2 linked regions of the Oryzias latipes genome follow. Each later gene encodes a partner of the first gene's protein in a complex. Links are inferred from orthologs where the notes say so. Each region holds a gene or a part of one and is shown in the gene's direction. Other genes may lie near its edges.

Region 1 (8,862 bases):
TCACGCTGCCCTCTTCCTCCTGCCCGCTCGCACTACCTGATGGTGTTGAAGGCACCACAGCAATCTTGGAACATGGTGGTTATTTTACCAAACCACGGAGAGCCGCTACACAGGGATGATAGAGCCGCATGCATCTCCGGTGCCGCCGGTTGCCGACCCCTGGTTTATGGGATGAAGGCGAATCAGCCGATTCTGACGCCCAGAAAAGCGGCTTTTCATATCGGCTTTGCACAAATAAATGACGCAAGGCTGCTTTCCTCCATGACAGAATTACTTGATTTATGTTGATCTCGGAAGCACTTCATTACCATAGGGTGTGGCATTTTTCTCCTCTTTGGAATCCGTTGGTATTGTATTAATGGCGTCAACGGATGTAGAGTTACAGACGTAGAAAGAATGTGAACCAGAGCTCCAGTGTAAAAGGGTTCATGTCAGTCATATGGAGAGCAAGCAATCAATGCATCAAAAATGCAAGCTTTACTGAATAAATAGTTCCAGGAAGAAAAATATCTAGATTTTTACGGCATGCTCTTTGAGTCCACATCCTTCATTCACCATGGCAACCGTAAAACCTGTTGTACAACAGCCAATAAGCAGCGCAAACCTGCAATGACCAGGAAATCGTACAATTGATAAATATTTGATGTATTGTGATCCTCCATGAATGATTGATTTCAAAGATGAGATGATAAAAATACATATGTTTGTAAAATCTATTTCAGATATTCATTCATAACTTAATGAAAATGAATAGCAAAGGATGCTATCTTCTTGACATTATAATTGCTCTCTTTTTTTAATAATTATTTTAATCATTTTGATAATAGTTCTAATAATATTTTTATTAATTAGTTTTAATAAAAATTGTTAATAATTTGATATGAATGTCCTTTTTGATGTTATATTATATATATTATTTCTGAATGTCGTTGTTGCTGCTGCAGATAAATGAAATTTCCCCATCGTGGGATTAATAAAGTCATCTATAAACACAATAGCACACAAGACTAGGGTGTGACGAAATATGGGTCTGAATGTTCATATTAATAATTAAAGTACATCATTGTGAATTTTTAATTCCACTGAGGCTATTTGATATACATTTTAGTTCATAATTGGAGCTTTGTTCATTAGTTATCATTAAGTGTATGTTTTTATTACAAAGACACAGCAGTATTTATTGATCATTTTATTTTACTGTTGCAAAGGATGGTTAAATTCATATATTGTGTTTTAAATTGTTTAAAAAAAAGGTTTCATCGAAAATAAAGATATATTTGTTTATATAATAGTGGTATATTAGATGATCAAGGTAACATTGATAATTGCAATATGAAATTGTGATCCATGTATGGTGAATCACGTCGTATCGAGAGTCACCCTGAGATTCCCTTCCCTGCACATGATGCATTGAATCCATTAAATATGATCCCCCAATAGAGTTTAAGTACTTAAATAAGGTTTTGTGAGTCATGTGACCGACAGCAACACAATACTTTTGCATTTATAATGGAGAAGCCAGAATTACACCACAAAAGTGGCCTTTTAATCTGAAAGTTCATAATTGTTGCTAAATTTGCTAAAAGATTTTAAGGATTTGTCACAGCTACAACCCTTTATTTTAAGCCATATTGAATTTGTTTTAATAGTTGTGATTGTGACGCCCCTCTTCTATAGGGATAGATGAAAATGTAATCCTTTGGTGATGGCGTGGCTCTATTCTGAGAACGCTTGCATAGGATTGAATTTCTTTTCCACCTTTCATTTGTTTTCTGTAGGTGTACCGGTTCCTGAAGGCATTCCTGGATGGAGTACGGCCATGATAACCCTCTGCAACATCACCAATGCCTCTGATGTGCAGACTGCCAACCGACCACCCAACGTCGCTCATGTAAAAAGCTTCTTCACACACACTTACTGCTGCCCATCTCCATCTATCTCCTCTGTGGTTAATCCTTCTAATGCAGTTGGGAGGACTCTGAGTTCAGTTTTTGGTATTTGCCAAGGGTGTGTTTGTCAATGAACGTTGTCGTGACGATGGATGAGATTATCCACCTTGAAGAGTGACATGATGCCTGAAGAATGGAGTAAAAGTGTATTTTGAAAAACAAGAGGGACGTTCTGAGTTGTGGAAACAGAGGAATAAGCTGATGAGTCGCATAAAGAAGTTATTAGGAGTAGTGGAAACTAGACTGAAGTCAGACATGAACATTTATGATCAACAATATGGCTTCAGGCAAAAGAAGACAACAGATGCGATGGAAGTCTGGAGTGGCAGGAAAGTATCTATCAGAGGAACAGCTCATGATGGATGCTATGGAGGTGGATGCCAGCAAACAGATTGAGATCTGTGGGCATGTTGAGAGGAGGATCAGTAGTTCTGTTGGTAAAAGGTGATAAGACTGGAGTGATATGTGGGAAAAGAAAGAAGGTTCATGGATGTAATGGAGGACATGACGGGGGTTGATGTCGGGGGAGGGTGGATAGAAATGGATGGAGGCTGTTGATTCACTGTGGCGACCACTAAAGGGAGCAGCAGGAAAGTCAAGAAGAATCATTCTGACCACTTTGGTTTAGTAAACAAATGAGTAATTCACGATCAGGATTTAGATTTGGTGTTCTATGGTGATGGGTTTCAGTGACCTGCACTTCATAACCATCATTCAATGACTGCAGCTGAAAAAAACAGTTTTTGAATCCCAGCCTGGCAAAACGTTTGCTCCACAGGGTTTGATCAGGCCTTAAGTTCATGGTTGTCAGTAAAAAGGCCTTTAAAGCTAAGGCTACATGGGGGTGTCGTGGTTAGCTCTCTTGCCTCACAGCAGAACGCCCTGCTTGAAATTCCAGCTGGACTTGGCATACTCTCCTCGTCCACGTGTGGGATTTCTGCGGGGACTCCAGCTCCGTCCCTCTGTCCAAACACATGATCCATAGATAAATTGGTGATTCAAAATTGTCCCCAAGTGTGAATGTGTGGACCTGAAATAGACTGACGACCTGCTCAGCATAAACCCCCCTTCACTCAACAGCAGCTGGGATAGGCTCCAGCAACCCACTGACCCTGAAAGGAATGCATTGGGATCTGAAAATGAATGAATGGATGGATGGGCTTTTAAAACTAGGGATGGGTATTGTTAAGATTCGATCAATACTACTCCTCTTATCAATGTGGCATCAATCCGGTATTCTTATTGATACTTTTCTACGTGAAAAACAGGAGGGAGAAGACAAATAACAAACCATGTACATGAAAACCATTTAACATTGCATGTCGGATACTTTATTGTTACAGATTATACTGTTATAATTTTACACCTTATAGATCATATTATAAGGTATTATTATTATGGTCTGCGTCTGCATCAAAATTGACAGTAAATGCTGTCGTTGTTTGTAAACTTGGCTGAATCTGAACCTGAAGTACTTTTATTTAACACTAAACTTGAGTATTACTAACTTTATAAATGGCATTAACTTCTGACAAAAGTCACACAAAAAAGCATCAGAAAGCAAGTATCATCCTCCTCAGTAGCTCCTGCTCCACTTTGTTCAAAAGCTATTTGTTGTCATGCGTTCCTGACAGCTGATTTTCCATGAGTGGTGGTTAGTCTAAAGATGCTTAAGTTCTGTTTTTCTCAAAGTATTTCTTTGTCTCCCTGCAGATCATCCAAAATCTCGCAGGGAATCAAACGAAAGCTATGGAGCCTCAGACCAATCAGAACCGCCTTCAGACCCCGAGCAATTGCAACCCCGCCGCTTTTAACCACTCCAAGCTGACAGGCCAGTCCGTCACAGCAGAGCAACAGCAGCAGTTGCTTCAGCAGTCACACCAGACTGCCCAGCAACACCACCAGTTACCGCAGCAGCAGCAGCATCCCATAATGCACCTTCAGCAGCATCAGATGATGCAGCTGCAACAGTCACAGGTTGCTCAGCAACAGGGTTTCTCTCAGCAGCAGCAGTTTCTGCACCAACAACAGCAACAGCAGCAGCAGCAACAACAACAACAACAACAACAACAAATGCATCAACAGCAAATGTTTTCCCAGCAGCAGCAGCAGCCCCACGCCTTCCCCCAGCAGCAGCTGCGACCTCAGCAGCTCCTGCGACCAGGTCTGCCACAGCAGCTGCAACATCTGCAGCAGCTCCAGCAGCAGCGCATGCAGATGTTGCTGCAGCAGCAGCAGCAACAGCAACAACAACAACAGAATCCACAGCAGTTGCACCAACAGCATCTACAGCAACAACATTTGCTGCAGCAACAGCAGCACATGCAGCACCTCCAGAAGCAGCATCTGCAGAACCAGAACCAGCAGGTCCTCCAGCTTCCACAGCAGCAGACCACCACTTTGCAGCATCAGCACCCACAGCCTCACCACCCACAGCCTGTTTCCCAGCTGTTTGGACATGAACCAGGGCTAGACAGTGAGTCGTTACAGCATCAATCTGGATTCATTTGTTGGGAAATACTAATACTGAACCAGAACTCCTGCTCTCAGTTCCACAGGATGGCTTTTTGCTTGGATGTGTGTTTGTTATTGCTGATTATCCGGAGCAAATGGCAGACAAACAGTTACTCGCTACATGGAAACGGGTAGGAACTCAACCCCACCATTCAGAAAAAGACTGCAGGCAAACGAGGTTGGTCAATGTTACTTATCCAAACTCCTTTACCAGGTCATCCAGGCTTGTGGAGGTACCGTGGATCCCACCCTCACCAGCCGCTGCACTCATCTTCTATGTGAGAGTCAGGTCAGCAACGTGTACGTACAGGTAAGAACCCACCGCAAAGCTCATTTACCTGTACAATCGGACTCAGTTGTTCAAAATCAAATCTTTTGGTGCACCTGTTGAACTTTGACCCATGAGGGACATGTACGGGTAGCATCCCTTTCAATTCAAACTATTATATGATTGATCATGTAGGAGAGATTAATAATTCAGTTCTTAAAGTCCTTCTCCGATCATCTTTTGATCTAGTTTAAAAGTGTTCCCAGTGGTCTTTTAATTGTACCGTTTTAGACAAAACCCAAAAACTTGTGTTGTTTTTTTTAGGACATAGTTTCTGCAGAGCAGCAGGAGTTCATTAGAAAGTTGCCTCTGACTTGTAGGCGGGACTGTTGGCGCAGAGCAAACCCGTTCCCACTCCTCGTCAGCCACCTGTTTACACTCTCCTGCTGGCTTACAGCCCTCGCACCCCCAACCTATCATTATGTGTGCGACTAAAATGCTGAGCAATATTGGAGCTATCCAGTCGTACACTTTTGATCCAGGTTCCAGCTCAGACAAGGATAATGAAGATCGTGGATCTATTTGTCTGCAAGTGGATGCATCAGAATGGAGCGGAGCAGGAAGCTGATGATCCACCCGTAGTAGCTTCTACGGAACAGCTGCAAGCTTTTCAAACTGCATTTTCTTTTCTCTGCTCCTGATTAACACCAATTTGAATCAAGAAATCCTCAGAAATGCCATTTTGAGCTTTATTTTCTTTAGATGTGTGCTTCATCGAGAGAAATGAAGATTGGACTCTGAAAGACCATTCCAGTGACCGGAGAGTTACCAGAGTCTGTTAGCCTTTCAACCATCTGCTTTATCTCCATCAGGCTCTCAGAGAAGGAAAGCGATGCGTCACGGCTCACTGGCTCAACACAGTGCTGAAGAAGAAGAGAATGGTTCCTCCTCACCGGACTCTGCATTTGCCCTTCGCTTTCCCTCCGGGGGCAAAACCCTGCTCTCAGCATGTAAGTCCACTTTGTACAGCGTTTTGGGGAGAGGGGACACTTGAACTGTGCGTTTTTATAGCATCAAATGTGTTTTACAAATGTATTGAGTTTTTTTTTAATTCAGCGCTTTAACTCTAAATGTATTAGTCTCACCATAGTCCCACTGATTGTTTAAGACAACAATATGGGGGTAATGTCTCATTAAACTACATGAATACTTTCAGGGTTGCAGCAATTTTATTTGGTTTTACCACCAAACGGCTGGTGTGATCCAAGATTTTCATTGGTCGCACCACTGAAAGATTCCATCTAAAATGGGTTTCTCATCGGATGCCTGGCTCATGCGTCACAATAGCCAAACTCTTGGCTCATTAAAAAACAAAGGCCACACTTACCGGTAGTTTTTGCAATAGCGCCTAATCATTTCATACTGGAGCTGTTCTCTAAATAACACAGGCTCCTTGAACTACAGCAACTCTTTAACCGTTGACGCAATTAACGTACTTCTGAAGAAAAGTATCTTTACGTCAGTAAAGTGTTGCATATTGGTGCAAAGCTGCTTCTCTCCACTTCAGAATCTGTTGGAATTGTGTTAATTGCGTAAACGGTTAAAGAGTTACGGAAGTCCAAAGAATGTAAACACTGGAGCTAAAGCTCTGGTGCAAAAGGGCTAAGAAATAGTAAAACTGATAAACGGTTGTCTAGTGTCTCTCTAAGCTGTCATCTACCATTGTTTTGTCCGGACTGACAGGTTTCTGCCCTTTGGGTGTTATTATCAAGAAATCCTCCGCTGAGAATAAACTCAATGAATCCATTTAAATTCTAAGAACTGATCTCTTCAACCTTGGACTGTGCTGTGGCGTTGAAGCTTTTTGTTTGCCGTGACCCCTCTTTCAGATCATATCAGTGACGGGCTTCGTGGATGCCGACAGAGACGACCTGAAGCTGATGGCTTACCTGGCCGGTGCCAGGTTCACAGGATACCTGTGCCGCAGCAACACCGTCCTCATCTGCAAAGAGTAAGGCTGGGAAGATGAATGAGTGCTGTGGAACGCATCAGTGTGATGGATGCTCAGAAGCAAATTCTCTGCTTTAAAACTCAGCAGCACTGCAGACTGCATGCAAAAATCCCAAACCTGGTGCGTTTGTCGAATGTCTACTGAGCTGATTCACTCCGCCTCTGAACTTACAACTTACAGCAGCACAACTTCAATTAGTTGCTGCTTTTGTTACAAGTGGATTGGTAGTTATTGGTAGTTCTCGGCCAGCCTGCAGCCAAGTGAAGGATTGTGGGACTTCACCAAAGGGCGACACACCGTCGAACTTGTCCCCCTTCGGCTGCTTTCAACAACTGTATCACCTGTTTGAAAATGGAATGACTTTAATGGTAGTGGATTAATTTCTCTGCAGACCGAGTGGACTTAAGTATGAAAAGGCTAAAGAGTGGAAGATCGCCTGCGTCAACGCTCAGTGGCTGTGTGATATACTTTTGGGCAACTTTGAGGCGCTGCGGCAGATCCAGCACAGCCGATATTCCTTCTACGGCCACCCGGAACCTCTGGCTCCTAATCCACAGCTGGTCCAAAACCTGTTGGGTATGAGCAGCCGGAACATTTGTTTTCACCCCAAACCAGATAGAAACTGAATGGTTTAAAAATGTGGGCGTCTCCAACACGGTGTTTGTTGATCATCGTGCTGGATTTCCTCTTTTTGCAGCTGCTTGGAGAACTGCAGTCAAAGTTTCACCTGAGGCGCTGGCGGTGAGTTTGGATTATTCCACCGTTCTGAGGGTTTAGTGTTCATCTGAACTGGAGATGCAGGATGTTGGCTTTGTGTAAATATGCTGATATTTTCAGACTAATATCTGCTAATTTGATATATTTATTTTTAATTGTTTATGATATGGCACTAAATAGGTCTGCACAATAAATCTAAAATGTATCGTTATCGCAATATCAAGCTATGCAATACTAATTACAAAAAATGGTGAAATTTAAATATATGGTTACCTTAAATGTGCTAAAACAATCTTATGGCAGCATGAAGTTTTTAGCGAATCAAATAAATCAATTTATGCATTTGACCAATCAGATGGACGCCTTCAAGATGTTGACCAATCAGAAGGAGGCCTATTATGTTAGATGACTGCCTCCTATGTAGATGAGGGTCATTTGGAGTATAATTTAAGTTACATTGACTCTAATTTAAATTAAATTGTTTCAGAGAAATAGAAATGTTTTTGGTTGTTTTGCTATTTGTTCATGGATGGCATGTTATATCGTCATTGCGTTATTGATCACTAATATGGCACAATGCGAGTTTTCCTCATATCGTGCAGCCCTAGCACCAAGTCAGAATTTTAGTCAGGGAAGTGACCAAAACAAAACAAGACTGTACTTTTAAATCAACTTTGAATCTCCCTCAAGGTCCAGAATTCACTTCAGTCCTATCAGTTCATCATGATTTTTGTGTCAGTTTTCTGTTGTTCGCCCATCAGGCTTTAAAATGGCTGATTCTCCTCTGAGTTTCAGTGATTCTACTGTTGTAAAATGATTAAGAGAAGTTCAACCTAACGATTCAACATAATAATTGAGGTTCCTGCTAAAAGCATTCACTCTCTGCCTCCCGCTGAACTGTGAGCAAATGCCGACACTTTGCCTTAATGTACCTGAGCTGTTTCCTGTTGGGCTTTAGTTCCTGGTTCTTTAGGAGGTTCTGCTACACATTTAGGCAGAGTCTGTTTACAGGACTGCCTAAAGAGAGAACTGCAACCTCTGATTTTACGAGACGCTTGCGGCTCATCTCTGTCAGAAAAAGATTTTCAGACTCCAGATGCTTCCTATAGATCAGTGGTCCCCAACCTTTTTAGCGCCACGGACCGGTATGATGTCAGACAATTTTGACATGCATGACATTGTACATCGCACAGGTCTCATCATCCTCTCCCCTTCCCACACTCGTGGTGCAAAAAAGAAGAACTGTCTATTACATGTAGCTTTCTTTTTTTGGAAGTCAAAGGCTCCTCTTCTGTGTCCTGGCTGTGCATTTTCCCCTTGGTAAAGAAACTTTCCAAAGATGTTTGTTTTTGATTCATTTTGCTAGTTCCTGGGTTTTATTTTAGCGGTAACCTGTCATGTGA
Region 2 (7,910 bases), on another chromosome or scaffold:
TGACAGAGTCGGCGTGCAAAGTTGCTCGGAGGACACCGACAAAAAAGAGCACGCTGATCATCTCCGGCGTGTCAAAGGTCAGAGAAATATCCTGTAACGGTTTTAATCCTTTCTCGATACCTGAACCTTCTCATCATATAACTTCATTCAGGGAAACTTCACTTGGCATGCTCAAAGGTGGATTTTCTTTTTGAATACATGAGTAGGGAGCTTTTAACCTCAAGGAACAATGTAGGATACAGTGACATAGATCCAGACAATTATAGTGAGATCTATATTTAGCAGCCCCCACCTCTTTGGTCTTCTTCACATTAGGATGACCTAAATTTATGTGTGAAAATCTGTTAAAACATATTTAAGGCAGGTCAGTGCACCAGAATCCAAATCCACTGGAATCTGCTGTAACAGCATTGATCTTAATCGGTGTTTTAAGCCTGGATTTTCACCGTGTAGCTTCCCTCCTCCCTTCTATTCTCAATAGATTCCCCTCACAGAGGATAACTGTACACTGTCGAGTGACTATGCGGCAGCAATGGACGCAGCCATGCACGGCAACCACTGCAAGGCGGGGCACCATCAGGACCTGGATGAAACCACGCCCTCTGACGTGTCGGAGCGTCCGTCTGTAGAAGACATGGAATCCGACACTGGATCCGCAGGTGGCTTGGAAACCCGGAGCCTCAAAGACCATAAAGGTGAGGTAAACAAATTATTTGCATTTTTGCCAATATAATGATGTTTTCTAAGGAATGATGATGTAGCTTACATAACAGCATGTTCTCACAGGTAACAATGTCTGACTGTGCAAATACTGCCCTCTGGAGGCTGAGCTACAGAATGCAAAACAATAGATGATAGATTATGGATTTTAAAAAGTGATATTTTGATTAAAAAAAGGGTTAAATAAATGGTTGCTTCAACTTTAAAGAACTATAGCTAATCTCACAAAGTACCGTATTCCAAAACATGAACTTTCTGCTTCCTGCAGTGAGTTTTCTCCAGAGTGGCACAAAGTTATGGTTCCGCAAAAGACATCGAGAGAAGGACTCCAGCCTCAGCCAGTCCCACGAGAACATATCCAACATGAGCAACTTTACCCCTACAACTACAGAGATCAGCCGCAAGAAGTCTGGAAGCTTCTCACGGCGTCTCATCAAGCGCTTCTCTTTCCGCTCGTCTGGCAAATCTAAAGGCACGGTTCCAGCTACCAATGGAGGAGCAAGCGCAGTGGACAACTAATCACCCGATTGTAAATCAACTTCTGCACTAATTTATGACAAGCAAAGCACCCCTGGTGGGTATTGTGCTTCTTAAAGGGACTGGGAGCTATGAGAGGAAAAAAAAATATTGCACCTTTAAGACAACTTTACAGAATCTGAAATTGGATAAGAAAATGTGTTCGTCTTTAAGGAAATCCGCTGCTTGGAGAGAAGAAGGTAATTACTACACTGAAATATTTTGTCTTCTATTTAAGCAAAAGCTTTGCTGACACTGGCTGAAGAAAAAACTTTTCATGGAGATGCTGCCAGTTGCACTTTGGAAGGTTTTTCTTTCTTTACAATATCTGTAAAGTTTGTGGTTGTACAAATATCATTTGGGATTCATGTGATACTTATTTTACACCCCCAAAAGGCGTCAATCAAGTTGCATCATGCTGTAAAAATAAGACATTACCATGTTTTTTTTAAAAATAAAACTGTAGTTTAAGGACTGATTTAACTTAACCAAATTTGTCTTGATTTAGCTTTATTGTGCCCTCATATCTGCTTGGCATTATATACGTTTAGAGATGTCACTTCACCGTTATATCTGAGTGATTCATTTTATGTAAAATATCAGAACTTGAGTTTGTTTTCAAAAATGTTGTTTTGCCAGCATTTCTTATATGACTAACAAAAAACAGATTGGCTCTGTGGGTGATGCTTAATGCAAATTATTATGTCTATAAATGTCATTACTGGGTGACCTCATTGTTTCAAAAAATGTCTAAATGAAAAAGAGTTAAGAATGCAGGTTTTTGCATTTGCATTTAACAGTTGCATTACCTTGAGAAACTGTTATAAGTAAGAGAAAACATTGAAAGGTAGCCAGATAGAGAAATTTTTACAAGATGGGTGGTCTGTTCTCAGAGCTACAAATTCAGTTTTGATAAAATGGAAATCTGCTGCACCCTTCCAATGCTATTAGAGGTAACAGAATTCACATTATCTGTTTTATGACTTTTTATCTGAATTTTGATTTTTGCTTTTATCAGTGACTGCAATAAGTAGGGGAGAAGGGCACAAACTTGAAATAAGTGTTAATATTCAGGTTTTTTCTTCTCTTTTGACAGATATATATTCAAAGGTGGAGCTAAGCATCCACAAAACAAATTTACAAGAATGAAACTGCAATATTGAAAGTTTGTGTGACCTATTACTTGTTCAAAAATTGTATTTATTGCAAATAAATTATTTTCTAAACTATTACTTAATATTAGCATCTGTATTCTCTTTTTTGTGCATTATTCAAAGAAGATTCTTACAGCAAAGATACAAAATACATCAGTATACAAACCTCTTTCCTTACACAAAGGTTTCTTGCAGATCCGTATGGTTTCCCTCTCAAACCACTATTTATCCAGGTATACTGGATGGAGAAGATGTCTTTAAAAAGTAAATAGGTATCCCTTGAAAAGGAGATTTGGTCTCAATGGGAATTTTTAATCAACAAAACTCGATCATATAACTCGAACACAGCTTGGTAAATCTAAGCTGGAGTTCCTGAAAAAAATAAGAGGTAAGCGGTTTGTTTAACACAACTGTTTGTAACAGTATGCTAAATACTAAAGTCTTTAATTTAAAGTAACTTTTTAAGTAAATAGTATCCAGTTGTTCCTACATTCTCAAAATGAGTTATTGGAAAAAACACAAACTGCTTAGATAGCTTTTTGCCAAGATATGCAGCTAAAATACAGCGCAACAAACACGTCCCTTTGCTTATTTATTTATGTAAACATCAATAAAGTTCTTAGATTCCATAACACTCACAATCTTTCAAAATTCACACACATATACTGTACATATCAAGGTTATTTCAGTTTATGCCACAAAGTGTATAATCTGGCATGTAGTTGAACACTTAAAAGAAATGATCTTAGGTTTTGGAATTTTCTAGATACCATCAACTCTGCTGCTCAGCTTCAATTATTCACGTGACTTTGGTCAGCGGCTGTGTTAAAACCGCCAAAGGTTTAAACCTGGAGGGAACATTTCCGATTGGTCTGATGTGTCTGCCACATAGCCACTCATAACATGGAGACCAAAGTACTAACCAATCGTTTCCCTTTATCCCACAACCCTTTACGTGATTGGTTCATAGCCTAAACGCTGTAAATCGAAGACGTTGACCAACGTTTCCGGTTTCGTCTCGCTAAACCAATGAAATCGCAGTACTTCCTCTTTGAAAGCCAATCGATGCTTAGGGCGGGACCAAAACGGGGTTTATATCCAGGTCAACGTGGTGCTATTTGGATATCTGTATTGCAGCACTGAAAGACAACGTTTGTGTTTACAAACCGGAGGGAACTTTCTACATCGAATATGTCCGGAAGAGGAAAAACTGGAGCAAAGGCCCGCGCTAAGGCAAAGACCCGCAGCTCACGTGCTGGTCTGCAATTCCCCGTGGGCCGTGTTCACCGTCTACTCCGTAAGGGAAACTACGCCGAGAGAGTAGGTGCCGGAGCCCCGGTTTACCTGGCCGCCGTGCTCGAGTACCTTACCGCTGAGATCCTGGAGTTGGCCGGGAACGCCGCCAGGGACAACAAGAAGACCCGCATCATCCCACGCCATCTTCAGCTGGCCGTTCGCAACGACGAGGAGCTGAACAAGCTGCTTGGCGGCGTGACCATCGCCCAGGGCGGCGTCCTGCCAAACATCCAGGCCGTCCTGCTGCCGAAGAAGACCGGCCAGGCTACACCAAGTTCCGGAAAGGCGGGAAAGAAGTCTTCGCAGTCTCAAGAATATTAGCTTCTAAGCTATCGCCGCTAAAAACCAAAGGCCCTTTTAAGGGCCACTCACTCACTGAAAGAGCACCTTTCCCCTCATGATGTACATATGACCGATGACTGACTTTACTGTATAAACTACCGTAACATGTACTTAGTAAAACGTTACATTCAGGGCTTTTCATTAAACTGAAAATTTGATTGTTCACTCTTGTTTCTTTGTGTTCTTTCCCTACTCAGCAGAAAATTAAACTATATTAAAGGACTTCATAACATTTACATTGCATAAGGTAGTAAACAAACTAAGATGTCGGAACCGGGATAAATTGTGTCCTAAGGTCTGACAAATTCAAATTAACTAAGTTATACTGCAAAATGTAGTTTTGATCTTACAAAACCAGGAGATTTGTCAAAATTGTGATCATAGCATGTCGTAATTAGTAAAACTAAACGAAATGTTCTTCAAAGTCAGGAGGAAACTAATAGATCTGAATCATGATCGACAATTTGTTCCAAACCGGTTTAGTGTTAAAAGTCCAGCAGGAAACTAAACCCTGACTTAGCTTTGGTTGAATTTTAAACTGTTTAAAACCTTATTGAAGATTTCCAATATAGATTTCCATTTAGTTGCATAACAATTGCCAATATCCAGAGTCAGGTATGAAATAATGCATGTAAAAATAACCAAACCATAATGATAAACCAGAATGTTGATCTTCACGACAACTTATTGATCATTTTACACACAGACGCTGTTCTGAACTATGGATATCCTTAATATACAGATTGAACTTAAAAAAGAGTTCAATAACAGGTTTCACCCAGAGACTTTACATTTGTGAATAGGACATTTGGCCAAAAAGAGCTGGAGATTTATTAAGAACAGACCAGAGTCTGCCCACCCATCCATCCATTCATGATACTGACATTGCCACGTTCGAACCATCCATCCATCCGTCCGTTTCATCCCTTACGGTCACGCCCAGCCCATTTAAATTATCTTTAAAATGACATCCTTCCAGAACCAGCTAAAACGAACATCAACAATGAAATCATAAATATTCTGCCAGAACACTTCAACTTGAGGACAGTACCAAAAAAGATCAATGACTGTTTAACAAAAACTACAAAGTTTATGTTGAATTTGAAGCTATTTTGAATGAAAACTTTAGCTGGGCATGAATTCTGTGAACTATCTTATAGGAAACTTATTTTATTGGTAATCCAAAGTGTATAAGGCAGTGTTTTTCAACCAGTGTGCCGCGGCACACTAGTGTGCCGTGGGAGATGGTCAAGTGTGCCGTGGAAAATTGCCCTCATTAACTGATCTAAAAACATTAACCATCTCCAGGAAATCAGCTCTTTGTTCATCCAAACAGGTCCTGATAAAACACTGAGTAGTTAGGAATATAAACGATCATAAAATACTTTTTTCGTTGTGTTTATTTGATTCTATTAAAGACATTTTGATAAGAATGACGGTAACGCGAAATAGCTGCAGCTATAACTGTGTAAGGAAAAGTCCCGCAGCTTTTACTGTCTCCACGACACCACCAATCATTCTTGAAGGCTTAATCACATGTCATCAGTCTGACCAATCAGAAGTGGTTAAAGTCTCCACTTCCTTGTTCCAATTTAGCTCATAACTCAGTCAGTTCCGACAAAAACACCAGCTAAAGCTCGTATTTAGCAGTGTAACTTTCCACAGAATGCGGTATCAGACCGTGGAACAAGTGAACAAAACCATGAAGCTCAGAGACGCGAGTCTTTCTGCCCTTTTCTCGCAGTTTTCACACTACATCTCCCATGATGCATTGGCTTAAAGGGACAGCGTCTTGAAAACACAACGAACATACAGTTTGTATGTAACTTAAATTTTATTACATCTTTTAGAAAAACATCTGCAACTTCCTGCTTTTTCTGCCACAATTATCACAAAAATGCACGTCAGATTGCCGGGGGGGGGGGCGGGGGGGGGGGGGGGGGCTGTAGATCAAAACAGACTATGAGTTTCTGCTTTTTTTTTTTTTTTTTTTTGGGATGCTGGTGTGCCGCGGGATTTTTGTCAAGGTTAAAGTGTGCCGTGGCTCAAAAAAGGTTGAAAAACACTGGTATAAGGGGTTTTGCAAACCTTCCGAGCAACGTCTTCCACAAATGTATTGCATAGTAGTCTTTGCAGCTGCTCAACTACATAATTAAAACTTGTTTATTTTGAATGCACTTCTAATTAAAACTACATCGTTGATAATGAGCGTGGTGAATGCACATGTGGAGTCACTGAGGTGTTGATAACCTGTTTTTTTTGCTGTTTGGTTTAACTGTTGTTATTTGTAACACATGTGACCTAAATGTGTGGTTAAAGCCTGCAAAACACATTCTAACGGTTTTACATGTGTTCACCTGCAGGTGTTTCCCTTCTTGCACACAAAGACAAAAACATCCTTTTTTTGCAGTGTTGATGATAGAGCTGAATGATCACAAGGAAGTTTAAATTATTTTTAATTGAATTAAAGAAATGTTTTCTTTATTTAATAAGCATGGATATTAATGTTTATTCTGTGTCAAGCCTGTCATGTAAAAAAACAAATATATGTAATATTATTAATTCATACTAAATATCTTTTGCATTTGAAAAGGTGAGGAATTCAACTGAACACTGCAGATATGTTAGGATTGTAGTTAGTCATCTTTGCCACTAGAGGGCGACGCTTGAAAATGCTTGATGTGCCTGTGTCAGCCTGTATCTTTAAGTATTTAAAATTCCTCTCTAATTTAAATTTTAGCCTAAAACTTAAATATCTATTTAACAATAAAATTTTTGCAATAAACTGTTTTTTTGTAAAACAGTTTATTGCATGGATCTGCTAAATTAATTTTGGGATTCTGGGAACAGATATGGTTTTTTCATGTCAAATGAAAATAGATGTTGGGGTTTCTTAGTGCACCTCAGAACAGCTGAAATCTCCTTCCTACAGGAGGATCCTGCTGATATTTCTGTCTCTTCTGACCGCTTTATTAGTGGCAACAGCAGCTTAATGCAAAAGGTCTGAACTGAGCTCAGGACAGACTGAACCAATTACCCAGGCACTGACTACGTGTCCAAAACTATTATCCAGACTAAAAATTCCAGCCCTCAAGGAAAACCACAGTCTCTGTTGGTTGTGAACACTATATTTTTCACATTTAGCAGCACAGATGGCTCTAAATTTAGCAAATCTTATTGTTTTGGCTTTGTGATTTTGTCCCTTTGTTCTAAAACTTGTCATGAAAAGGAGAGACTTAAAGTTTCCCTTGAAGTCTCTCCATTCAGTGCACAGTGAATGAATCAAAGTCAGGTGCAATGGTGTTCTAAAAAAGCATTAAGAGCTCTTTAGAAAGTCCAAAGAGCCGCTTTGTTTAATGAAAAACCAAAGCAATGGAGGGACAGAGAATTTACTGACTCCAATGGCAAAAAGTGGAGAGAGAAAGAAGGCTGGACAGAGGGGAGGATCTGGTGGAAAGATGTACAGTTACTGACTAAAACGCTCTCTTTGTGAGCAACCCAACATATGTGAAGAAGGAGCGGCATGTTTTTATTCTAAGTTTGGAAACTCTCATCAGGAAATATTTGGAAAATGCCTCATCTTGTGTTTTTAATCTCTGGGATGATCCTGACAGAGAGGGGAAAGGATTCCTTGTGAACACTGGTAACTAACCAAAATAATTGCTTGCTATTGTCTGTGTAATAGGAGATAAAGGGTCTTTTGTGGCTGCTCACTTGAATAGTTTGTCTGTCAAAACTGACCCAGTTATGATTTCAACTAGCTGTGCCCTGTGTGTCCATCTTTTCTCAATTTCTATAAAAGAACCTTCAATGTAACCTTAGTTTAGACATAGTGACATCCAGTTGGTATTGCAGGTTAATTAAGTATTTTAACTTTTATAT

Evidence for each region.
Region 2: the proteins of paxip1 (region 1) and histone H2AX are in contact, whole or in part, in a crystal structure (PDB 3SQD), measured with the Homo sapiens proteins. The link is inferred for Oryzias latipes from reciprocal best matches to the Homo sapiens genes PAXIP1 and H2AX. Residues at the interface, in NP_031375.3 of Homo sapiens: Phe871, Thr872, Gly873, Phe874, Pro876, Lys907, Thr909, Arg910, Thr911, Val912, Lys913, Pro986, Glu1050, Leu1053; in NP_002096.1 of Homo sapiens: Gln138, Ser140, Gln141, Glu142, Tyr143.

The regions. Positions count from the first base shown.
Region 1 is NC_019875.2:13,216,731-13,225,592, reverse strand, and holds part of paxip1 (PAX-interacting protein 1), read left to right. Parts: intron 1-1,778; coding exon 1,779-1,891; intron 1,892-3,662; coding exon 3,663-4,425; intron 4,426-4,499; coding exon 4,500-4,594; intron 4,595-4,677; coding exon 4,678-4,773; intron 4,774-5,603; coding exon 5,604-5,741; intron 5,742-6,620; coding exon 6,621-6,742; intron 6,743-7,133; coding exon 7,134-7,318; intron 7,319-7,439; coding exon 7,440-7,483; intron 7,484-8,862.
Region 2 is NC_019872.2:15,231,957-15,239,866, forward strand, and holds histone H2AX, read left to right. Parts: upstream 1-3,482; 5' UTR 3,483-3,581; coding exon 3,582-4,007; 3' UTR 4,008-4,193; downstream 4,194-7,910. Other genes in the region: phospholipid transfer protein C2CD2L, read left to right, coding at 1-77, 482-695, 989-1,239. UniProt on the Homo sapiens protein: Variant histone H2A which replaces conventional H2A in a subset of nucleosomes. Nucleosomes wrap and compact DNA into chromatin, limiting DNA accessibility to the cellular machineries which require DNA as a template.